5 linked regions of the Mus musculus genome follow. The protein of the gene in region 3 binds, or shares a complex with, the protein of the main gene of each other region. Links are inferred from orthologs where the notes say so. Each region holds a gene or a part of one and is shown on either strand. Other genes may lie near its edges.

What was found.
Region 1: Tctn1 (region 3) and Tmem17 share a complex: the UniProt entries of both Homo sapiens proteins name them as parts of the tectonic-like complex. The link is inferred for Mus musculus from reciprocal best matches to the Homo sapiens genes TCTN1 and TMEM17.
Region 2: Tctn1 (region 3) and Tmem67 share a complex: the UniProt entries of both Homo sapiens proteins name them as parts of the tectonic-like complex. The link is inferred for Mus musculus from reciprocal best matches to the Homo sapiens genes TCTN1 and TMEM67.
Region 4: Tctn1 (region 3) and Tmem107 share a complex: the UniProt entries of both Homo sapiens proteins name them as parts of the tectonic-like complex. The link is inferred for Mus musculus from reciprocal best matches to the Homo sapiens genes TCTN1 and TMEM107.
Region 5: Tctn1 (region 3) and Tmem231 share a complex: the UniProt entries of both Homo sapiens proteins name them as parts of the tectonic-like complex. The link is inferred for Mus musculus from reciprocal best matches to the Homo sapiens genes TCTN1 and TMEM231.

The regions. Positions count from the first base shown.
Region 1 is NC_000077.6:22,517,416-22,520,134, forward strand, and holds the end of Tmem17 (transmembrane protein 17), read left to right. Parts: coding exon 1-106; intron 107-965; coding exon 966-1,244; 3' UTR 1,245-1,816; downstream 1,817-2,719. UniProt on the Homo sapiens protein: Transmembrane component of the tectonic-like complex, a complex localized at the transition zone of primary cilia and acting as a barrier that prevents diffusion of transmembrane proteins between the cilia and plasma membranes.
Region 2 is NC_000070.6:12,053,275-12,057,268, reverse strand, and holds part of Tmem67 (meckelin precursor), read left to right. Parts: intron 1-2,139; coding exon 2,140-2,238; intron 2,239-2,436; coding exon 2,437-2,523; intron 2,524-2,973; exon of another isoform or gene 2,974-3,122; intron 3,123-3,225; exon of another isoform or gene 3,226-3,494; coding exon 3,495-3,594; exon of another isoform or gene 3,595-3,682; coding exon 3,683-3,822; exon of another isoform or gene 3,823-3,987; intron 3,988-3,994. UniProt on the Homo sapiens protein: Required for ciliary structure and function. Part of the tectonic-like complex which is required for tissue-specific ciliogenesis and may regulate ciliary membrane composition.
Region 3 is NC_000071.6:122,243,674-122,247,667, forward strand, and holds part of Tctn1 (tectonic-1 precursor), read right to left. Parts: intron 3,945-3,994; coding exon 3,859-3,944; intron 3,002-3,858; exon of another isoform or gene 2,953-3,001; coding exon 2,812-2,952; intron 1,991-2,811; coding exon 1,828-1,990; intron 1-1,827. UniProt on the Homo sapiens protein: Component of the tectonic-like complex, a complex localized at the transition zone of primary cilia and acting as a barrier that prevents diffusion of transmembrane proteins between the cilia and plasma membranes.
Region 4 is NC_000077.6:69,069,205-69,073,700, reverse strand, and holds Tmem107 (transmembrane protein 107), read right to left. Parts: upstream 2,893-4,496; 5' UTR 2,755-2,892; coding exon 2,668-2,754; intron 2,478-2,667; coding exon 2,410-2,477; intron 2,328-2,409; coding exon 2,227-2,327; intron 1,279-2,226; coding exon 1,182-1,278; coding exon of another isoform or gene 1,103-1,181; exon of another isoform or gene 956-1,102; coding exon 886-955; 3' UTR 408-885; downstream 1-407. UniProt on the Homo sapiens protein: Plays a role in cilia formation and embryonic patterning. Requires for normal Sonic hedgehog (Shh) signaling in the neural tube and acts in combination with GLI2 and GLI3 to pattern ventral and intermediate neuronal cell types.
Region 5 is NC_000074.6:111,930,701-111,935,481, reverse strand, and holds the start of Tmem231 (transmembrane protein 231), read left to right. Parts: upstream 1-1,668; 5' UTR 1,669-1,715; coding exon 1,716-1,854; intron 1,855-1,952; coding exon 1,953-2,122; intron 2,123-4,781. UniProt on the Homo sapiens protein: Transmembrane component of the tectonic-like complex, a complex localized at the transition zone of primary cilia and acting as a barrier that prevents diffusion of transmembrane proteins between the cilia and plasma membranes.

The sequences.
Region 1 (2,719 bases), on a different chromosome or scaffold from region 3:
CTTGCCTGACTACTACAAATTCATTGTGGTTACTGTCGTCATCCTCATAACCTTGATTGAAGCGATCCGGTTATACCTGGGCTGCATGGGTAACCTTCAGGAGAAGGTGGGTTCCTCCCTTCCCCGCAGGGCTACAATAGAGGGTTAAGGTTTTTTACAAGTAATGCAATGGCCGGTGTGAAGTGGCACCAGTCTGGGTCTAAAGGGCAGCTCCAACGTGAAGACTTAAGTCACTGTCTGATCTTTTGAGCTCTGGTTTCTTCATATACTAGACAAGGAAAATAACACTTGACATGTTTCTGGGATGAAGTGCAATGATCTTATGAAGTATCTAAACTTAATGAAATCTTTGGTCAACTGTAGAGGAGTGGGAACAAGAGTGGGAGAGACAGGGAGGGTAATGGGGTGAATAAGATTGCCATGATGGGCATTCTATGCGTGTATATAGCTATAATAATGGTCATTCAGTGCTTGGTCTGTGTTTTCTGAATCATCATCCTGCCTAAGTGTTTACAGTTTCTAAAGTGGTTAAATAATTCCTGTGGTTTGCTAGGCCCTTCATAACAGGCCCCACCTAGAACATCTTATTGATTTTCTTGGTATTTCTTAAGCCAACCATCCATGCTAGGTTGCTGTGTTGATTCCTAGTCATACCCAAGCTTCCAGGTAGGAGAGCTCCCATTGTGTACAGCTCGAAGCCTACCTTTCATTTGACTTCTGTGGTAGTTGGTCTGGACCTTTAAATGTAGTGGTTCATCATTCAGTGGTGTTAGTTGCTTTACATTAAATTGGTTTTCTCATCTAGACAGTAGATTTCTCTGAATACAAGGACTATGGCATGCTCCTGAACTACTCACAGAGCCTATAATATAGCTTCTTTGTATTGCTAAGTATATGTCTGACTGTATAACAAAACCAAAACTGTATTCTACTGATCTTACAACACTCAATGTGTGTCACTGCAGGTTCCTGAGCTAGCTGGCTTTTGGCTTCTGAGCCTTCTACTGCAGTTGCCTTTAATCCTTTTCTTGCTCCTTAATGATGGCCTAAGGAATCTGCCCCTGGAGAAAGCAATACATATCATCTTCACCATCTTTCTTACTTTCCAAGTCATCTCAGCATTTCTGACCCTAAAGAAAATGGTCAACCAGCTGGCAGCCCGTTTCCACCTCCAGGACTTTGATCAGCTGTCTTCAAGCAGTGCAGCTGTAAGGAGGGTAAGACAATGCACGGAAGAGCTCTGACCACCTGCTGACCATATGCTGAGTGGTGAACGACAGAAAGATGATACAAGAGGACCAGGAAGTGAGAGAGTGACAGGACATCTGAGTCGGGCCCGAGAAAGGGGACATACGTGCTGGGGTGTGTCCTCCAGCTCTGAAATCCCCATGGAGGCAATGCCAAGGCTCACTCATATCAACCCTGCAGCTGAGGGGATATTCCTGATGTTGGATGAGTCTGTTGGCAGTTTCATACCACCGTTTCTATAATATTTCTGATTATAATCTGTGACAAGAAATGTATGGCACTTCAGACGAAATTGCTTTGTTCAGTGGAATCTCACCAAGTGTGACAACACCCTCCAGGACATGTCCTAGCTCAGGGGGAGTCAGCTAATATAAAATGAACTCCGTGGTATTCTTGTGGACTTTTTGTTTTATTTTGCTTTGGTTTTGGCATTTCTGTCTTATTATTAAAGAGTAAAAAGATGAGATGGAGTTGGGAAAGGGGAAAACATGAAAAATATATGGTATGAAGAAAAGAATTAATAGAAGGCCATAAAACATAAGCTATTGATATTAAAATATCCACAACATGTCATGCTTATCTGTGTAGTTCTTTTGAACTATTAGGTTTATGGGATTGTTTGGGTTTTTTTCTAATTTTTGTGTTATGGGTATTTTGCCTGCATGTATGTGTACCACATGCATGCCTGATGCCCATGAAGGCCTGAAGAGGATGTCAGATCCTCTGGGACTAGAGTCACAGAAAGTTGTAAGCCACCATGTGGGGCTATGACTTAAAGTTGAATTCTCTGGAAAAACAGCCAGTGTTCTTAATAGCTGAGCCATCTCTCTAGACCCATGAGATTGTTTAAATTGGAGTTGTAACATGAGAAAGCCTGATATATAGCAAGCAGGCAATGGTAGGCACATTAATTCCTGATCTCATCACTAACTCATTCATGGTCACTAACAAACTGCTAAATAGCTATTAGATTCATATATGAAATTTGGATTGAAAACAGTATGTCTTAGTTAGGGTTTTACTGCTGTGAACAGACACCATGAACAAGGAAACTCTTATAAGGACAACATTTAATTGGGGCTGGCTTACAGCTTTAGAGGTTCAGTCCGTTATCATCAAGGTGAGAACATGGTAACATCAAGGCAGGCATGGTGCAGGAGGAGCTGAGAGTTCTACATCTTCATCTGAAGGCTGCTAGCAGAATATTGGCTTCAAGGCAGCTAAGATGAGGATCTTAAAGCCTACACTCACAGTGACACACTTCCTCCAACAAGGTCACACCTCCAAATAGTGCCACTCCATGGGCCAAGCACATACAAACCATCACATTCCACTCCCTGGCGCCCATAGGTTTGTTCAAACACATGAGTCAATAGGGGCTATACCTAGATATAGCATAACAAAAAAGCACATTTAGTTCAACTTCCAAAGTCCCCATAGTCTATAGCAGTCTCAACAGTGTTAAAAGTTC
Region 2 (3,994 bases), on a different chromosome or scaffold from region 3:
GATCTTTCTCATACAGCTAGAAGATGAAGAAGAAAGTTGCCTTTGATTTGTCTGGAGTTTAAGTTAGGAAAACTATTTTCAGGTCATAGAACAATTGCAAGCTCGCTTCCTTCCTAGGATCCCGTAGAATCCCCATTCCCACACCATTTTTATTTTTGTCTTTGCCAGTGCTTGGAATGTTTCAGCCTTTCCATTTTGTCCAATATAATGGCATACATTGATTGTATTTTTTTGATTTATTTTTTATGTACTTTAAATTTTTTATTTTATGTGTATGGTGTTTTGCCTGCATGTATACCTGTGCACTACATGTGTGCCTGATACCAGAAGAGGGCGAGGACACCAGATCCCCTGGAACAGAAGTTATGGGTGGTTGTGAGAGATGGGCGCAGGGAGCAGAAAGTGTTGTTAACTGCTCAGCCATCTCTCCAGTCTTGTGTATACTCTCTAGATGACTGGGCTCCCTTTCTTGTGAGCTATTTAGATCTCTTGTTTGTTTTTCTATTAGGTTTCTTCTTTTTCTTATTCATATGAAGGAGTTTGTCTTTTGAAAATATTAATCTCCTTTTTCTTTTTCATGTTGAAATCTTTTATGCAAATTTATGAGCTACCTGTTACCACACCTTTCACAGTCAATACATAATTAGCATTTAGTATTTATTTAACTTCCACACTGTCAAATTAATTTTGTGTGTGCTATATATATTATATTTATTGTGTTTAGAAAACTTGCCTATCTCAATGCCGAAATATATTATTCTTCCTTTTACTCCATTAAATTTATAGTTTAGAGTCAGCTATTGGATGGAGCACAGGGCCCCCAATGGAGGAGCTAGAGAAAGTACCCAAGGAGCTAAAGAGATCTGCAACCCTGTAGGTGGAACAACATTATGAACTAACCAGTACTCCGGAGCTCTTGACTCTAGCTGCATATGTATCAAAAGATGGCCTAGTAGGCCATCACTGGAAAGAGAGGCCCATTGGACACACAAACTTTATATACCCCAGTACAGGGGAATGCCAGGTCCAAAAAATGGGAATGGGTGGGTAGGGAAGTGGGGGGGGGGTATGGGGGACTTTTGGGATAGCATTCTAAATGTAATTGAGGAAAATACGTAATAATAAAAAAAATTTAAAAAAATTTATAGTTTACTTCTCATTTAATCTTTGAGGGTTTTTTTAACTAACATTTGTTGACTATTTACTGTGCACCAGGCACATGTTTTTATTAGATATTTTCTTCATTTACATTTCAAATGCTATCCCGAAAGTCCCCTATACCCTCCCCAACCCTGCTCCCCAAACCACCCACTCCTGCTTCCTGGCCCTGGCATTCCCCTGTACTGGGACATATGATCTTCACAAGACCAAGGGCCTCCCCTCCCAGTGATGGCCGATTAGGCCATTCTCTGCTATATATGCAACTAGAGACACAAGTTCTGGGGGTACTGAGCTTGTGTCTCTAGTTGCATATATAGGGTTCCTCCTATAGGGTTCCTCCTACAGGGTTGCAGACCCCTTTAGCTCCTTGGGTACTTTCTCTAGCTCCTTCATTAGGGACCCTGTGTTCCATCCAATAGCTGACTGTGAGCATCCACTTCTGTGTTTGCTAGGCCCTGGCATAGTCTCACAGAAGACAGCTATATCAGATTCCTGTCAGCAAAATCTTGCTGGCATGTGTAATAGTGTCTGGGTTTGGTGGTTTTTTGGTAAACCGTGGGCTGCACTCCATGAGTTCTAAGCCATTTTGTGTTCCTCCTGCATGGTCCTCAGCAGGTTCTACTCCTGGAACATACATGATGGTAGAAGGGGAGAACTGACTCTATAAAGTTGTCCTCTGACCTCTAAATAAATACATTCCACGGTACATACACTAATGCACACAAATCATGCCTACACACACGCATACCTGCACATACACACATGCACAGATGTATACACACACATACACACACAGAGAGAAGTATCTTTATACTTTTAAGTTCTTAAAATAAAAGCAGTGCTTTTATTATTTCTATTTTATATATGATGAAAGTGAAATAGAGCTTATATTTTCTGCTCAATTGTTTAGCAGAAATAAATGTAATGATCAGGTAACAAATTGAATCTTTAACAATTGTAATTCTTTTTAAATTGCAGACAGTTATGAAATTCCTGCTGTACTATGCTGGTGATCTGGCCAATGTGTTTTTTATCATCACAGTGGGAACAGGTCTTTATTGGCTTATTTTCTTCAAAGTGAGTGAGTTTCTGAACTTACCCTAAATGTCAATATCTGATTTTTATAAGAGACCTAATTCTGCTCAAGCTCACAGACAGCTGCGAATGCCCCACCCTTTGGTGTCCCGTTTGTGGAGATCAACGTGACTTGCTGTGTGTGTGCTTCCTTTGGTTTGTAAGTTGTGTAATAAGAGCCTTGTGTGATTGTTACTGTAGGCACAGAAGTCAGTCTCTGTTTTGCTGCCGATGCCAGTTCAGGAAGAACGTTTCGTTACTTATGTGGGGTGCGCCTTTGCTATGAAGGTAGGTTTCAAAGAACAGCTTACCCAATTTCAAAAACATGCTAAAAACCCAGTCTTTCAAATTCAATTAAAATTTTTGGTGTAAAATTGTCTTGGTTTTGAAAGAAAGCATCAGTTATTTTATTGTAGATAGGAAATGTGCCTTTATTTATAAATGTGCCCATTTAAAGTTATACCTTAAATCATGTCTTCAAAGAAGTTATAAATTTGCATTAGCAATCATGACTTACAGCTAATTTGACAAAATGATATTTCAGTGTTTAACTTTTTCTATAAAATTACAATGGGATGAAATAGTGGATTTTGTCTCTTTGTTAATGAGGATTAAAAGCTAAGTCTGGTGATGTGTTGGAATTGTAGAAATCAGTATTAACTTTCCCTCCTCATCCTTCTGTGGCAGCCACCCCTCCAGCTGTGCCTTCCCCCTTGTAGCTGACAGCTCCACACATACCTATTTAGTAGCCACATCCCATTGTCTTTTGGACGTGAAGTCTCTGCTTTAGCCACTGAGAGAGGAACTCTTCTGCAGAGTTACCATCCTGTACTTGGTCAACAATGCACCCAGGATGAGAACTCGGTGTAGATGGACCGTTCCTGTAACTGAGAGAAAGATGTTCCAACAACACACGGCTTTCTAGCTCAGTTCCAGAGACAGGAAAGACAGCAGGGGTATCTACTGCTTCTACGGGGCTTTGCAGCTTACCTTTGTATAAAGAAGTCAGACAATGTGCAGAGCCTAGAGGAAGGGAGTCATTTATGCAAGGGTCCTGTAGGAGAGGGGGAGGGAGGATATCTCCTCTTTTCTCATGTTCCTATTTTAAGGGGGGAAAAAAAAGAAGGCGAATTAATAGGTGTGTGGCTTGGTATATGATGTGCCCTTGTGATTATACTTGCTTTGTAAAGAGTATGTAGCTTTATAATTGCTCTTGAGTGATGATTCTTTTCAAGTGTTTTGTTGTATGTTACTTTTAGGCTCTCCAGTTTTTACATAAGTTCATATCCCAGATTTCCATAGATATATTCTTTATTGATTGGGAACGGCCGAAAGGAAAAGTTCTTAAAGCTGTTGAAGGTAACTGAAATTGGTGTTTGTGCCATAATTCTCTTGCTGCCTGCAGCGCAAAGGGAAAGTGCTGTACTCACGTGATCTCCCCTCCCAGGTGAGGGTGGTGTGCGGAGTGCCACTGTTCCTGTGAGCATATGGAGAACGTATTTCGTGGCAAATGAATGGAATGAGATTCAGACTGTGAGAAAAATTAATCCACTCTTTCAAGTGCTTACCACACTCTTCTTCTTGGAGGTATGTATGAGCTATCATATAATCATATGATGCTGCTTATTAACACTGCATAAGTGTTATTATCATCTCAAGTAATTTCTCAGACAGCGCAGCAGTTTTCTGTGGTAAAGTATTGTTGGCAAAACAGTATAAGGAAGTGTCCTTAACATTCCCCCTTTGTCCTTCCTATAAA
Region 3 (3,994 bases):
CTGGAACTGCAGAAGCTACAGAGGGCAGATGAGGGGCCTGCTAAGCTACAGTACTTGCCTGGGTGTTTTAATTTCCACATGTATTTTTCTAAATTATGTCCTGGCTTAAAAAGCTAGCAGACTTGCTAAACTGGAGCCTGCCCAAAGCAGTCGCGGGACTCCTTAGCTCACAAGTGCCATTTAGAAACCTTGTTCCTCAACTGGCGTGCCAATATCCCGTTGCTAGGAGCTGCTGCAGGTGCAGTGGGTGTGAACAGCAGATGCCCTGGGCCGGCTTCCCTTGGCACTAATAACGGGTGTCTTTACCCAGTGCCGCGAAGCTAAGAGCCATACCCCAGGTTCACTGGAGGCTGAGTACAGGGGTTAAGCACCCCTTGGAATGGGGATCTAGTGAGGCTCCTCTCCCCACTGAGCCACTCCTTATAAATATACAAAGCAGATAATGAGAGGCCTGAAGCAGCTGTGACAAGAAATAGCTGGGCAATTAGGGGAGAATGGAGCGCACACCTCCGCTGAGGACGGCCCACGCGTTGCTGCTAAGACAAAAGGAGGAGGTGGGCAGAGGAGTCACGTGTGACCAGGAAGCTATTTGTAGGATGCCAGCGTCCATGAAACTCTTTGGGGAACTTTGGAATTGAAAGAGCTCATGTGGGGGTGGACTGCCATTACAGCCCAGAGGGCATGAAATGGAAGGAGTGGAGACAGGAGGCCACACCTATGTCCCTCTTGTCACCCAATGCTCGAGGAAGGCTTGCTGCATCACTGCCATCAAAGCTGACCGTCCTGGACTGGAGGACTGCAGGAAGGTCTGGAGGGCCTGATGTCCTGGGTTTTTGGAATATTTGCACAACCATGATGACTGAGAAATATATGCTGGCCGGGGAATCCGCTGTTCATGTCCACCTCTCACAGACAGTTTTGACAGTGGCCACCACACGAGGCCATTGGTAGTAACATGAGGCCATTGGTTGGCATTAAACATGGTTCAGATTTGGATGTCACTCTTTTGGGTTAGGGGATTTCTCAACCATGTTCAACTATGGTTCCATTTTACGGAGTGACCACTGTGTCCAGCCAACAGCCAAACAAGTGACCCTCTGGATAACCCTGAGTGGCCAGTGATAGTTTCTGGAGGGCTCTAGCAGGCCGAGCACGGCAACCATGACTCTGGCAGGCCTGACTCCTCTCCCCATTCCCTCCACCTTGTTAGATCATTAGATGACATCCTTAAAGCCAGCCGTGGAGGTCTGCTCCCTCATTTAGCCACCTCCTCCTCCTGGGGCTGACCACCAAGGTCCAGCTATCAAGGTATTGAAGTCCAGCAATCAAAAGCACCCTCCAGCTGCCCTAATTAACATGCCTAATTAAAATGAAACACTTCATCCCTTAGAAATTTCTATTTGCCTATGGGCCTTGTCTGTCTCCTCTCTATCCAGAGGCACTTCTTTGTCCCTGCAGGGCAAATATCACGCCCCCAGCCCCCTCTCCCTTGTTCCCCTTCCCTTCTCCCTCACCCTCTATCTCCTGTCTTTGTCTTTTATTCCCTGCTCTCCTTTGTCCTGGGAACTTGCTCTTGGGGTCCTAGGCTGATTCTGGTCCTTTCAGTTTCCATTGCACAGGGACTGCAGAAGTTTGAAAACTACTAGTCAAAGGCACTGTGAGGAAAAGCGGAGCTGGGCAAACTGCCCAGTTTGGTTGCAGCCACTTCCCTCCTTCTCTCCCTCCCTCTCTCCCTCCCTCTGGTCCCTCCCTCCCTCGTGCCTCCCCAGCCACCTGTGGCCCACCTGGCCCATGAGCAGGTGGCCAGCAGCCCCTCACACTCTTTACCTTCATGTTGGAGGAGTAGGTGACAAAGTGCACAGGCACCCAGTCCTGCACATCCTGGGCCCGGGAGTTCCCAAAGGCAGCCACATAGTCAGGGAAGGCCTGGCCTCTCAGCAGGTCCTGCACCTTCTGTGCCAGAAGCCCACAAGGGATGGTGCCTGTCAACCTTTGGGAAGGAAAGAGAGGCCGAAGGAGGGAGGTGCTGACAACCTCCAAGACTCGCCAGCCTCTATACTTCTATCCTTCTTTCCTCCAAGTGCTGATGTGGCCCTGACTTTGGGGCATCCTGGTCATGGAGATGGTCCAAAGCAGTTTCCCAACCAGTGATCCACCATTTCTCCCTCTATGAACATTGTGGCATGGGCAGAAGCCAGGCAACACAGTGCTTTTCCCACATCCTGTCCTCCTAAAGGGTGCTGGAACACCAAGTTCCACAGGAGGGAACCAGGGATTATCCTGGGCTCCTGCATCCTGGCATCCTGTGGCAGTGTTTGGTGGAACTCTTAGGAAGCAACACTGATCTGAGATCAGAGCTAGCAATCAAACTAGTAACAGAGTCACTCCAAAGAGGTGGGAAGGGCATGGGGGTGAGAACGGAAGGGAAAAAGAGAAGGATTTGTACAGAGTAGGAATTCAGCAACAAATATGGAGAACCAAAGCTCCAAAGATGCTATTATAGAACTCAGGGGGCTGAGGCAGGAGGGCCAGGAGTTTGAGTCTGCCCTGAGCTACATAGGGAGACCTTGCCTCCCACAGCACAGCTTTCTCTCAGTTGTTCTGTTGTGCTGTGTGGGTAAAAATTAAAAATTCAGAAATAGAAGGATTTTCAGAGGAAACACTTTTGCTCAGAACTTAAATGCTAGTTGCTATTTGACCTTAAGCACGATGTGTCAAGCCCCAAGGTGAGGAAAGAGGGAAGGCTGCGGCACTTGTGCTAGTGACGTGGTTAAAATGGAAGGGTGTGTGCTCTCTGCCACAGTCACTCACCTGAGCTGACAGCCAGACTGCACATTGTAGCCAAATAGCACAGGGGTGCGAAGCCCCTCGCTGGCAAGGCAATCCTGCTGGCTCGTGCTACGAAGAATAGTAAATTGGCCTTGTCTGTTCGTTGTCTGAATAATCCCAGATATTCACAGGCTGTTAAGGGACAGTCAACAGTTCAGAGCAGACAGACTGTCTAGGAAGAAAATGGCATCATGCGTACTCAGTGAGACCAAGCTCTTCCCAGCCCCTGGCCTGTTACCAGGAAGGGGCAAACATGCCAGTAAATCTCTTCCTTGATTGGCCCATCTTCGAAACTAGTTCCAGCCGGCTGCAGTGGCCAGGCCCATAATCAAGCTCCTCCAAAGGCTAAGGAGGGTTGCACATTTGAGGACTGACCGCCTGAACTACAAGTGAGTTTGAGACCAGTCAAGGCAACTTGCCGGAAGGAACCTTGTTTCAAAATGACGTGTAAGGAGTGGGCCAAGGCTCAGCCCGGTGGCAGAGCACTCTCCTAGTATCTCAAGACCTGATTTCAATCCTCACCAATGCAGAAAACAGACAATTTATCTGCAAAGCCACTCTGTTTGCTTAAGAGTCTCTGTTTAAATGTGAGCTGGCCAGGTATGACAGCACATGCCTGTGGTCAAGAGGCTGAGACAGGAGGATCCTGAAATCAAGGCCAGGCCACAGCCAGCCTGAGATCTGAAGCAACGTCAAAGTGTGACCTTTGGTTACTTGACTCAGGAGGCAAGGCAAAAGGATCTGTGTCAGTTTGAGGCCAGGCTGGTCTATATTGTGAGCTCAGTACATAGCAAGAGAGACTTTCTCAAAAACACAAAACCAAAAGTGAACAAATGAATCAAAGAGTCAAACCCTTCTACATCTAGCTGTCCTTTTAAATGCACTGCCACCTTCCCCCCAAGCACCAGGCTCTCCTTAAACATTCCAGTGGCCTGGAGTGGCCAGTCAGGTATCTCTTTCCCATAGGCTACCACAGCCCACCCATGCAGACAGGAAGGTGACTTTCTCTGCGGACCTCCAAAAGGATACCCCTTCTGAGGCTGAAAGCCAGCAGCCAGCGGGAGTCCCACCCTGTAACCAGGGTTGCCGCTGAGAGGAACAGGCTTGGTGCCATGCTGAAAGACAAGGTGATGCCCCGGGCTACAGTATTTAGGTACAAGCGGGG
Region 4 (4,496 bases), on a different chromosome or scaffold from region 3:
CACCTTGATGGCATTGTTTACCATAGAAGTGAAGACCTTAAAACTATGACTGGCCAGTTTAGGACAAATTATAAACAGCACACAGTCTGGCTGTAAAGGTCTACCAATCAGCACATTGGAAAAGTGTGATCGCCAGGGAATCAGATAGGAGCAACCAGGATGTTGTCAGGTCCTGATTGCATGGAAATGCTAATCAGCAGATCATGCAAGCTCCAATCATCATTTTCTACTGCCCTCCGAAAGGAGGAACAGGTAAGGATTAACCTCCTGACGATAAAAGGCAGAGGGAGCCCATTGCTAAATAAGTAGAGACATTTCCTATTAAAGGAAGGGTGAGAATACGTCACTTTAGCACGAGCCCAGTGACTTACAGTTCTTGCAACGCAAGAATAATATCTATTTGCAAGTCGTTTGAAGTATTTTATTCTCCATTCGGCACAAAAAGGGAGAAACAAAACCATCCCAGAATGCTCCCCTCACACGCGGCAAATTAGAAGCGCTATGTGAGATAGTTATTTGCATATCCCCGCCCACTCACTTCCGCCTAGCTTCTAGCGTAAAAACCCAAATAGAAGCATTACTTCTAGCCCTAACCACAAGATAAAAGCCTTTATTTATACCAGCCTCTTGGCCCATCCAATGGTCTTCTGAAAAATAGTATACGCCTTGCTCTTGTTATAAAATAAATTTTATTACAAAACTCTAATAAAATTATAATCCAAGATTTGAGAGATCTTATTCCAACACTGCCATCCTCTGCTTAGCCGCAGTTGGGAGGAGCAAGGGACTTGGGCGAGAGAAAACTGAAGCCTCTGCCTTTTTCTTGCAGCAGTGGGAGGAAGCTTCATCACTTTTCCAGCCTTGGTCCCTACACCCGGATTGTGATCAGAAGGGTTTCTTTTTCAGCCCAAAGACAGCGATGAATAATGCAGTTTCAGTGACAGCTGGGAAGGCGCTGTGAAAAGTACGGGGCCGCGGGGGAGGGGGGGGAGTTAGAGCCCCTTCCAACCCAAACACTTGAACCTCCAAACCTTATATGCGGGTGGGTTAGGGTGGGTATGACTCTTCAAAACTCTACCAATTTCACATGTGCAGGAAAGGTCTAGGTGGGGGAAACCTTCAGATTTGGGATCGATTTTCCACCACCCCCCCCCATTCCAAAATATTGGGTGCTAGGGCACCTGCAGAAGGTAAAAATGTACCAGTACGTGGTACATTCCCATCGCTCGAATACGAAGAAAGACAGGGCCACAGACGCGCTACAGTGGGCTGCAATGGCTTAACAATACAGAGGGGGTCAAGGAAAGTAATCGGTTCGTGATGGGCCCCGTTGGTACCTGGACTTGGGTTCAGCTTGTACCCTTCCCTTAAGACAAGCGCCAGAGTTGGCAGCCAATGCCTTCTGAATTTATGGACAGTTATGTGTAAGAGACCAGAGCTGAGTTTGCTTTGATAGGACCTCTCCCTGTACACTCTGTACACTTCTGGGAAGGTTAATGTCATATATGCCCTAGGCCACACAAGAATACCTACAGATCTGATACACTGGGGATTTCTCCAGTGCCCTGGTCTTCCTTGTCCACAATTCAAGAGTAAAGAGCTACCTTTTTAAAAACACAAACAAACAAACAAAACAAAACAAGCCAGGCAGTGGTGGTGCATGCCTTTAATCCAGCACTTGGGAGGCAGAGGCAGGTGGATTTCGGAGTTCGAGGCCAGCCTGGTCTACTGAGTTCCAGGACAGCCTAGGTCTACATAGAGAAACCCTGTCTTAGATAACCTAAATATATAAGTAAAATAAGATTTAAAAAAACCCAAAAAATTCACCTGCCCCTGCCTCCCGTGCACTAGGATTAAAGGCTTGCAGAACCACACCTGGGCTCTATTTTCTTGGTCCCTTCTGAGTTCCCATAGTGCTTTGTATTTTACACACACCTACAAGCATACTGTTTAATCACACTGATTTACAGATGTTTGTCTGCCACCTCTTCAAACGGGATAAAATGATTTTACTCCCATCCAGGGATCGCCAGAACCTGGCTCACATCCGGATTTAACGAATGTTTGAAGTCTATTAATTCCCCAACAGTGTCTAAAACCTCTCACCTAGAGAGAGATTCGGTTTACCATGTAGAGCAGACACTTGTGCCCCAAAGGCCTACAGAGGTGGAAAGAGTGGTAACTGGGATGAGTCACCTGAGGACGATGGCCAAATAAAAAGGATACAGAGGAGGCTCTGGGTGCTATTGAACATGGAGACTCCTGAGAGGAAGCCAGCCAGCTCCACTGCAAAGAGGCCCAGGGTGAGACAGAGCGCGGCTACCAGCCTGCAGAGAGAAAAGGGCTTGGACCAAGGTTTCTGGATTCTGTTGAAGACCCCTGCACTCTCACCCCGCCCCAAGAGCTCACTGGTTGTCCTGCTTTTCGTATTCCTCCGGGGTGAATTTGAGAGGCAGGCAAGCCTGGATGTTGCTTTCCTGGCGAGCCGGGCAGAAAGAAAGAAATGTCAAAAGAGGAATGGGGCTGCGGGGACAAGTTGGGAAGGGGCCGGGGAACGGAGCAACGAACGGACCCTGTGTGAGTGGACTGAGCTGAGCTGGGTCCACTCCAAGATGAGAATGGGAGGGCCAGGAGGGCACGCGCACGCGCGCCCTGTCCGCGTCTTACCCGGGACCAGAACAACGTGATGACAACCACCAGATGAGCCAAGAGCGTCAGGAACCGAGAGGGCACGAGCCCGGAGATCCGACCCATGGCCTCGGGGGCCTCGAGTGGAGGCCGTGGGTTTTGAGGTTGGAAGTCTGGGGTGGGTCACTCATCAAGTCTCCCTGAGCAAGCAGGCCAGACCTCTCTACTTAAGTGTCCTTCCCGCGCGCTCGGGCGCCGCCCGGCTGCCATGGTAACTGCGTCCGCAAGCGCCACGCTGCTGCTTTCGGAAGTCTCGCGATAGTGCTGCTCCCTCTACCAACGTCTATAGGCGCGGTACGTGAGCCGTTGATGGACCCAAGAGGATGCAGCCAGAACCACCAAATCCTCCCTTCTCCTGTGCTTCCCACTCACTGCCTTGGGCGCTAGGAGTCGAGGGGACGAACGAGGAGAGGCTGATGCACCGAGCTTGTCCCAGGGTCAGGCTAAGTCCCCTAGCCCCTGGTTGTCAGAGGACTCCCCCTTCCGCCCTAGAGCAAAACTTTGCCGAAGAATGACTCTAATTTCTTCCTAAATAACTTGTCTCCGTGTCATGAGAGATTTGCCGAGTGCAGAAATGAGCAGCCTTGGGATGGTTAAAATTGGATGTGGGTGAGGTGACTGCCTCGGGAACCGAGGGGATCTGAAAGGGTGAAGAATGGAGCGGGGGACTGGAACTGCTTGCGCTTAGCCTAGGCTGGGACGCTGACCCACCACCGATTTCACTCTTGCTCTGAGTTGTTAGGCCCCGGACATTGCTCAGTTACAGACCAAGAACCTCTTCTTAGGGTGATGTGACCGATTTGGGGCTTCGGATGAAATCCCTGCAGATCGGAGAATCGGAAAGTTCTCAGCACTTTCCAGTTCACAATCAAGTCCCATGTCAATGGACCTCCCATCCCACTTGCACTCTCTGGTCCCTCCATTCCTTTTTCTTTGTGCCTCTAAACCAGCCCAAAAGACAAGGCTCAGGACCAGAGGGATTTCATCTATTCAACAAATATTTGATGTCTCCCAGATGCCAGGCACTGTGCCCCAAATCTGAGAGTACCTCGATAAAGTCCCTCCAGGTTATATTCTAGGTGGGGAGATTGATAACAGCCAAAACAAGAACAAAACCCAGCGAGGTAATGCGTGCTATAATTTTTTTAAATTAAAAGATAATACTAGAATAATATCAAAGGGAAGCTTTGAAAATAGATACTTCTTAAATTTTTGTTTCAAGGAATTGGCAGAGAGAGAGAGGAAGGAGGTGGAGGAGGAGGAGGAGGAGGAGGAGGAGGAAGAAGAAGAAGAAGAAGAAGAAGAAGAAGAAGAAATGATTCTGTCTCCCTAAAGTAATACATGGGGTTCCCTTTCCTAAGCCAGTTAAAGGTCATGAAAGACAGACTGGAGGTCTTCTAAATGAACGGGGGGTAGGGGGGTGTCTAACTGAACCTGAGATCCCAAACCAGGCAAAAGAATTGCCCCCCCCTCGCCCCCTTTTATTATAAAAGACTGAGGTGAGATGCTTGGCAAGTTTTGTATAGGGTTTGTAACTTAAACAACAGCATTGTAATCATGTAATTTCCTGATTTTTTTTTTCAGTATTGGAGATAAGCTCCAGGCCTCTTACATATAGGTAGGTAAGCACCCTCCACTGAGCCATCCTCCCATCTTCCCTTCTGAGACCCTATAGTATTATCAACGCAGAGAATGGCATTCTAAAACACAAAGAATAATCTATAGCATTGAATGTCCTTATATATTCAGCTCCTACTTATTGAAGCTTCTGCCTGTGGGCTGCACTGGGGATCAAACACAGGGTATGG
Region 5 (4,781 bases), on a different chromosome or scaffold from region 3:
TATTATTATTATTTATTTTTTGAGACAAGGTTTTTCATTGTAGCCTTGGCTGTCCTGGAAGTCACTCTGTAGACCAGGCTGGCCTAGAACTCAGAGATCTGACTGCCTCTGTCTCCTAAACACTGGGATCAAAGCTGTGTGCCAACACCTTTATTTTAACTACATGTGTTTGGGTGTTTTGCCTGCGTGTGTGTCTATGGACCATGTGTCTGCAGTGCCCACAGAAGCTGTTGGATCCCCTAGGACTGGAGTTACAGTTGGCTCTGAGCCCCTGTGTGGGTGCTGAAAGTCAAACCTTGATCCTCTGGAAAACCGGCCTCTCCAGCTTACTTACATGTTACACTACATTTACTTATTCATTATTTGTGCATAGATGCAGATGAGCACCATGACAGGCATGTAGAGGTCAGAGGACAGCCTTTCCAGAATTAAGATAGATGGTGGGAGCTGGAGAGATGACCCAATTGTTAAGAGCACCGATTGTTCTTGCAGAGGACCTGGAGAAAGGAGAATTGAGGGCCAGCACAGGCTACATAGTAAGACCCTACTTCCAAACAGGTAAAAATCTGTCTTCCATGTTAAGATATTGGTGTTAGTATTTACCTAAGTGATCAGCTAATGCTAACTTTGGGGAAGACAGTATCAGTGTTTATAGCTAACAAAGTACAACAGAAGGAGCCATTTAGTAAAATACCCTTTAACCTTTTTTTTTTTTTTTTTTTTTCCGAGACAGGGTTTCTCTGTGTAGCCCCGGCTGTTCTGAAACTCACTTTGTAGACCAGGCTGGCCTCAAACTCAGAAATCCGCCTGCCTCTGCCTCCTGAGTGCTGGGATTAAAGGCGTGCACCACTACGCCCGGCCTTTTATTTTTTGTTTTTGTTCTAACCTTTAAATAATCAGGGGGTTTGTTTCCTGTTTTCTATCTTTCCTGCTATGGGGCATAGTGAAAGCATTAACCTTGAAGACAAAAGTACCTGGTTCTAGGACGGTGGCCTTGTTATAGGAATGTCCCGACTTCAGTATGAACCTCAATGGAGTTTTTGCATTGAAACAAAGTCTCCAGTATCTCTGGCTGGTCTCAAACTCACAATGTAGCTAAAGATGACCTTGGACTTCTGATCCTTCTGTCTTCACCTGAAGAGTTGTTAGTGTTACAGATGTGGGCCAAGGTGCCTGGTTTAATGAAGTGCTGGAGATGAACTCAGGGCTTCCTGTATAGTAGGCTAGCCCTCTACCAACTAAGCTACATCAACCATCCTTATGTCATGAGTTAATAGATGATCTATGGGGTGATGTCAACATCTATGCACGTCTGATTTTGTACAATTGACACAGACTTTGGTGAGTGAAAATATCATTACAGTTGCTTTCTTTTTTTTTTTTTTAAGATTTATTTATTATATGTAAGTACACCACTGTAGCTGTCTTCAGACATTCCGGAAGAGGGCGTCAGATCTCATTATGGATGGTTGTGAGCCACCATGTGGTTGCTGGGATTTGACTCAGGACCTTTGGAAGAGCAGTCAGCGCTCTTACCGGCTGAGCCATCTCACCAGCCCATACAGTTGCCTTCTTGAAGAGACGCGCAGGCACAGCACTAACACAGGACCCTCCTCCTGCTAGCTCCACCCCCTTCTAGAGGCCTGCATGCCTGCTATTGGTTCCTCTGCCCGCCGTCGGTTGCCGTGGAGACTCGGCGCTGCGGCCCTGCGCTCATGGCGCTGTACCATCTCTTCTCTCACCCAATCGAGCGCGCTTACCGCGCGGGGCTCTGCTCCAAGGCCGCGCTCTTCCTGCTGTTGACCACCGCGCTCACCTACATCCCCCCGCTGCTGGTGGCCTTCCGGAGCCACGGTGAGCCTGCCCGGGCCTGGAGGGCCACACGGCGCGGCCGGCGGGCCCAGGCCGGCAATCCTAACCTGGCTCCCCCCAACCCGCCTTGTCTCCCGCAGGGTTTTGGCTGAAGCGGAGCAGCTACGAGGAGCAGCCGAACGTGCGCTTCCAGCACCAAGTGCTGCTCGTGGCTCTCCTGGGGCCGGAGCCTGAAGCCTTCCTCGCCTGGAGCACGTTCCCCACCTTCAACCGGCTGCAGGGGGCTCACCTGCGCGTCCCGCTCGTGTCGGTGCGTGGTTCCCGCCCGGATCCTGGGGGTGATAGGATGGAGTGAGATCCCAGTTTGGGTCATTTGACCGGGTGTGAGAGCAGAGTCTCGTGTATCCCAGGCTTGCCTTAAACTATATAGCCAAAGTCGTCTTTCAACAACTGATACTCGGCCTTCACCTTCCCAGTGCCGGGGATTCGCTATGCAACGCCCTGCTGGGGTATATGGGGTGCTGGGAATCAAACCCAAGGCTTTGTGCTTGCATGCAAGGACTTAACCACTGAGCCACTCTCAGTCCCACAGCTTGGATCTTAAGGAGCCACGAGGGTTGGAAACAAAAGTCCCTTTGGCCTGCGCATGCTTAACTTTCTAGATAGTTTTATTCAGTTTCTCCAGGTTTCCCTAGAAAGGCAGCCGTGCAGGCACTGTGTTTGCCGGACAACAAGAGTCCAGAGCCTGTTTCTGGTGCTGGTCATTTTCTGAATGGAAAGGTGGCTGAAGAAAAAACCCCTTTGAGGGCTTGTAGGCGGAGTTCTGTACACCCCAGTACGCTGCTGAGTTTGAACATCACCAAGCTGTAAAGACAGAAAGTACCAGTGTTTTTATGCAGACTTGATGCGGGGTAGGGCGGGGCAAGCGGTGATTGGTTGAATTCTCAGGTCCTGCTCTAGCCAAGCCACGCCTGTCTGGGTTAGGCTTCTCAACTCTTTGCCACACTGCAGCTGTCTCCTGTGTAAGGGAAACATTTTACTGGCTGCAGTTTAGTGTTTACTTTCGCATAAATCAAGTGCTTCCTTACGGTCATCCCTTGCCGTTCATATAATGACATGGGCAGAGTGATGACTTTAACTAGGTGTTTGTTAGTAAATATTTTGTTTCTAACCTCCACCTGAGGCAGGATTGCCCCCCCCCTTCCCTGACCTATACAGCAAGCTCAGGGCTATTCAGTCTCAAAAGCGTAGCGCTGGCATGTAAAGTCAAAAGACAACTTGGAGGGGTCAGTTCCCTCCTGTCACTGTCCCGGGAATCCAGCTTGGATTCCCAGGGTTGGCTGCAGGAGTCTTTACCTGCTGAGCTATCTCATTACCCATCCTTGATTTTTTTTTTTTTTAATTTGCTCCAATCGTTTTACTATTAAAATTAGTAAGTGAATAAACAAAGCTTTAACTAAATCCTACAGCTTTTTTATTCTTTTTGAGATGGGTTATTGCTATGTTGCCTGCCCAAGCTGTAAGCCCAGTTCAGCCAGCTACGAAGCTGGGACTACAGACGTGAGGCCCAGACTTAAGTCATGCACGTCTGAATGCCAGTGGAAGCGTTTTGTTGAAATTTCATGCACTTAGAGAAAACAAAGCAAGCAAGTAAAGTAATTGTTAACTGCAAGGAAATAAGCCACGAGAAGACGCTAGGAAGGATGCGCAGTCAAGGTTGCGAACCGGACTTGCGTAGTAGTCTTAGTTACGACATGAAAGGCTGACTAAGCAAAATGCGCACCTAGGGAAACTGAAGGGATGAGAGAGGGGGAGGTGCGATGGGGCCTGGTGGGAGTGGGAGGGGAGCGCAGGCTCCAGCTTCCCCCGTGGAATGTCAGTAGAGGATTCTCATGAAAGAGGTGGAGACTCGGCAAATCTTATTTAAACATCTGGAAAGCGTTTCTTTCTATTTGTTAGAACAGGGTTTCTCTGTGTAGCGCTGGCTGTCAAATAACTTGCTCTGTTGACCAGGTTGGCCTCGAACTCAGAGATTTGTCAACCTCTCCCTCCCCTCTGCTACTACCGCCAGCCACCCAGCCTGGGGAGGGCTTCTAACACACTCTCATTAGGTAACTAATGCAAAAGTTTTTGCTTTGGAAGTTTTGTTTTGTTTTAACATCATTGCACTCTTTTATTCTTCAGATGGTCAAGACTCTTCCCCCAGGCCACCAACACATACCCTTTTAGTTTCTTGAGACTGCATGTCATGTCATCCAGGATGGCTTGGTTTTGTAGCCTAGGATGACCTTAAAGACTTTGTGTTTCGGTCTTCCAGCCTGTGCCTGCTCAGCGCTGAGACTGCAGTTGTGAGCCACCACGCCTGCTTTTACTATTTATGTACTTACCTTGCTGCTTTGCTTATTTTATTCTCTGTGTGTGGGTACTTTGCCTACATGCACATATATGTATACTATGTGATGCCTGGTGCCTCGGATCCCCTGGAACTGGAGTTATAGACAGTTGTAAACTGCCCTATGGGCCCTGGGAATTAAACCAGGATCCTCTAGAGGAACCGCCAGTGCTCTGAACTGCTAAGCCAGCTCTCCAGCTCCATTTATTAATTTATTTATCCCTAAGACAGGGCTTTGTAATGAAGTCCAGCTATGGGCCAGGTTGCCCATATGGATCTGGTGATCCTTCTCTTACTAACTACGAAGATTACAAGCAAGGCCGGCCACACCTGGCCCCATTTTTATTCTCAAGCCTCTAATGCAATAGAGCCTTCCTAGTGCTTCCATCCTTTAACACAGTTCCTTATGCTGTCGTGACCACAACTAAAAAATTATTTCATTGCTACTTCATAACTGTAATTTTGCTACTTTTATGAATTGTAATGTAACTGATATGCAGCCTCTGTGAAAGGGTCCTTCAGCTCCCCACCTCCCCAAAGAACTTGAGATCCATAGGTTGAGAAACTCCGCTCTAAG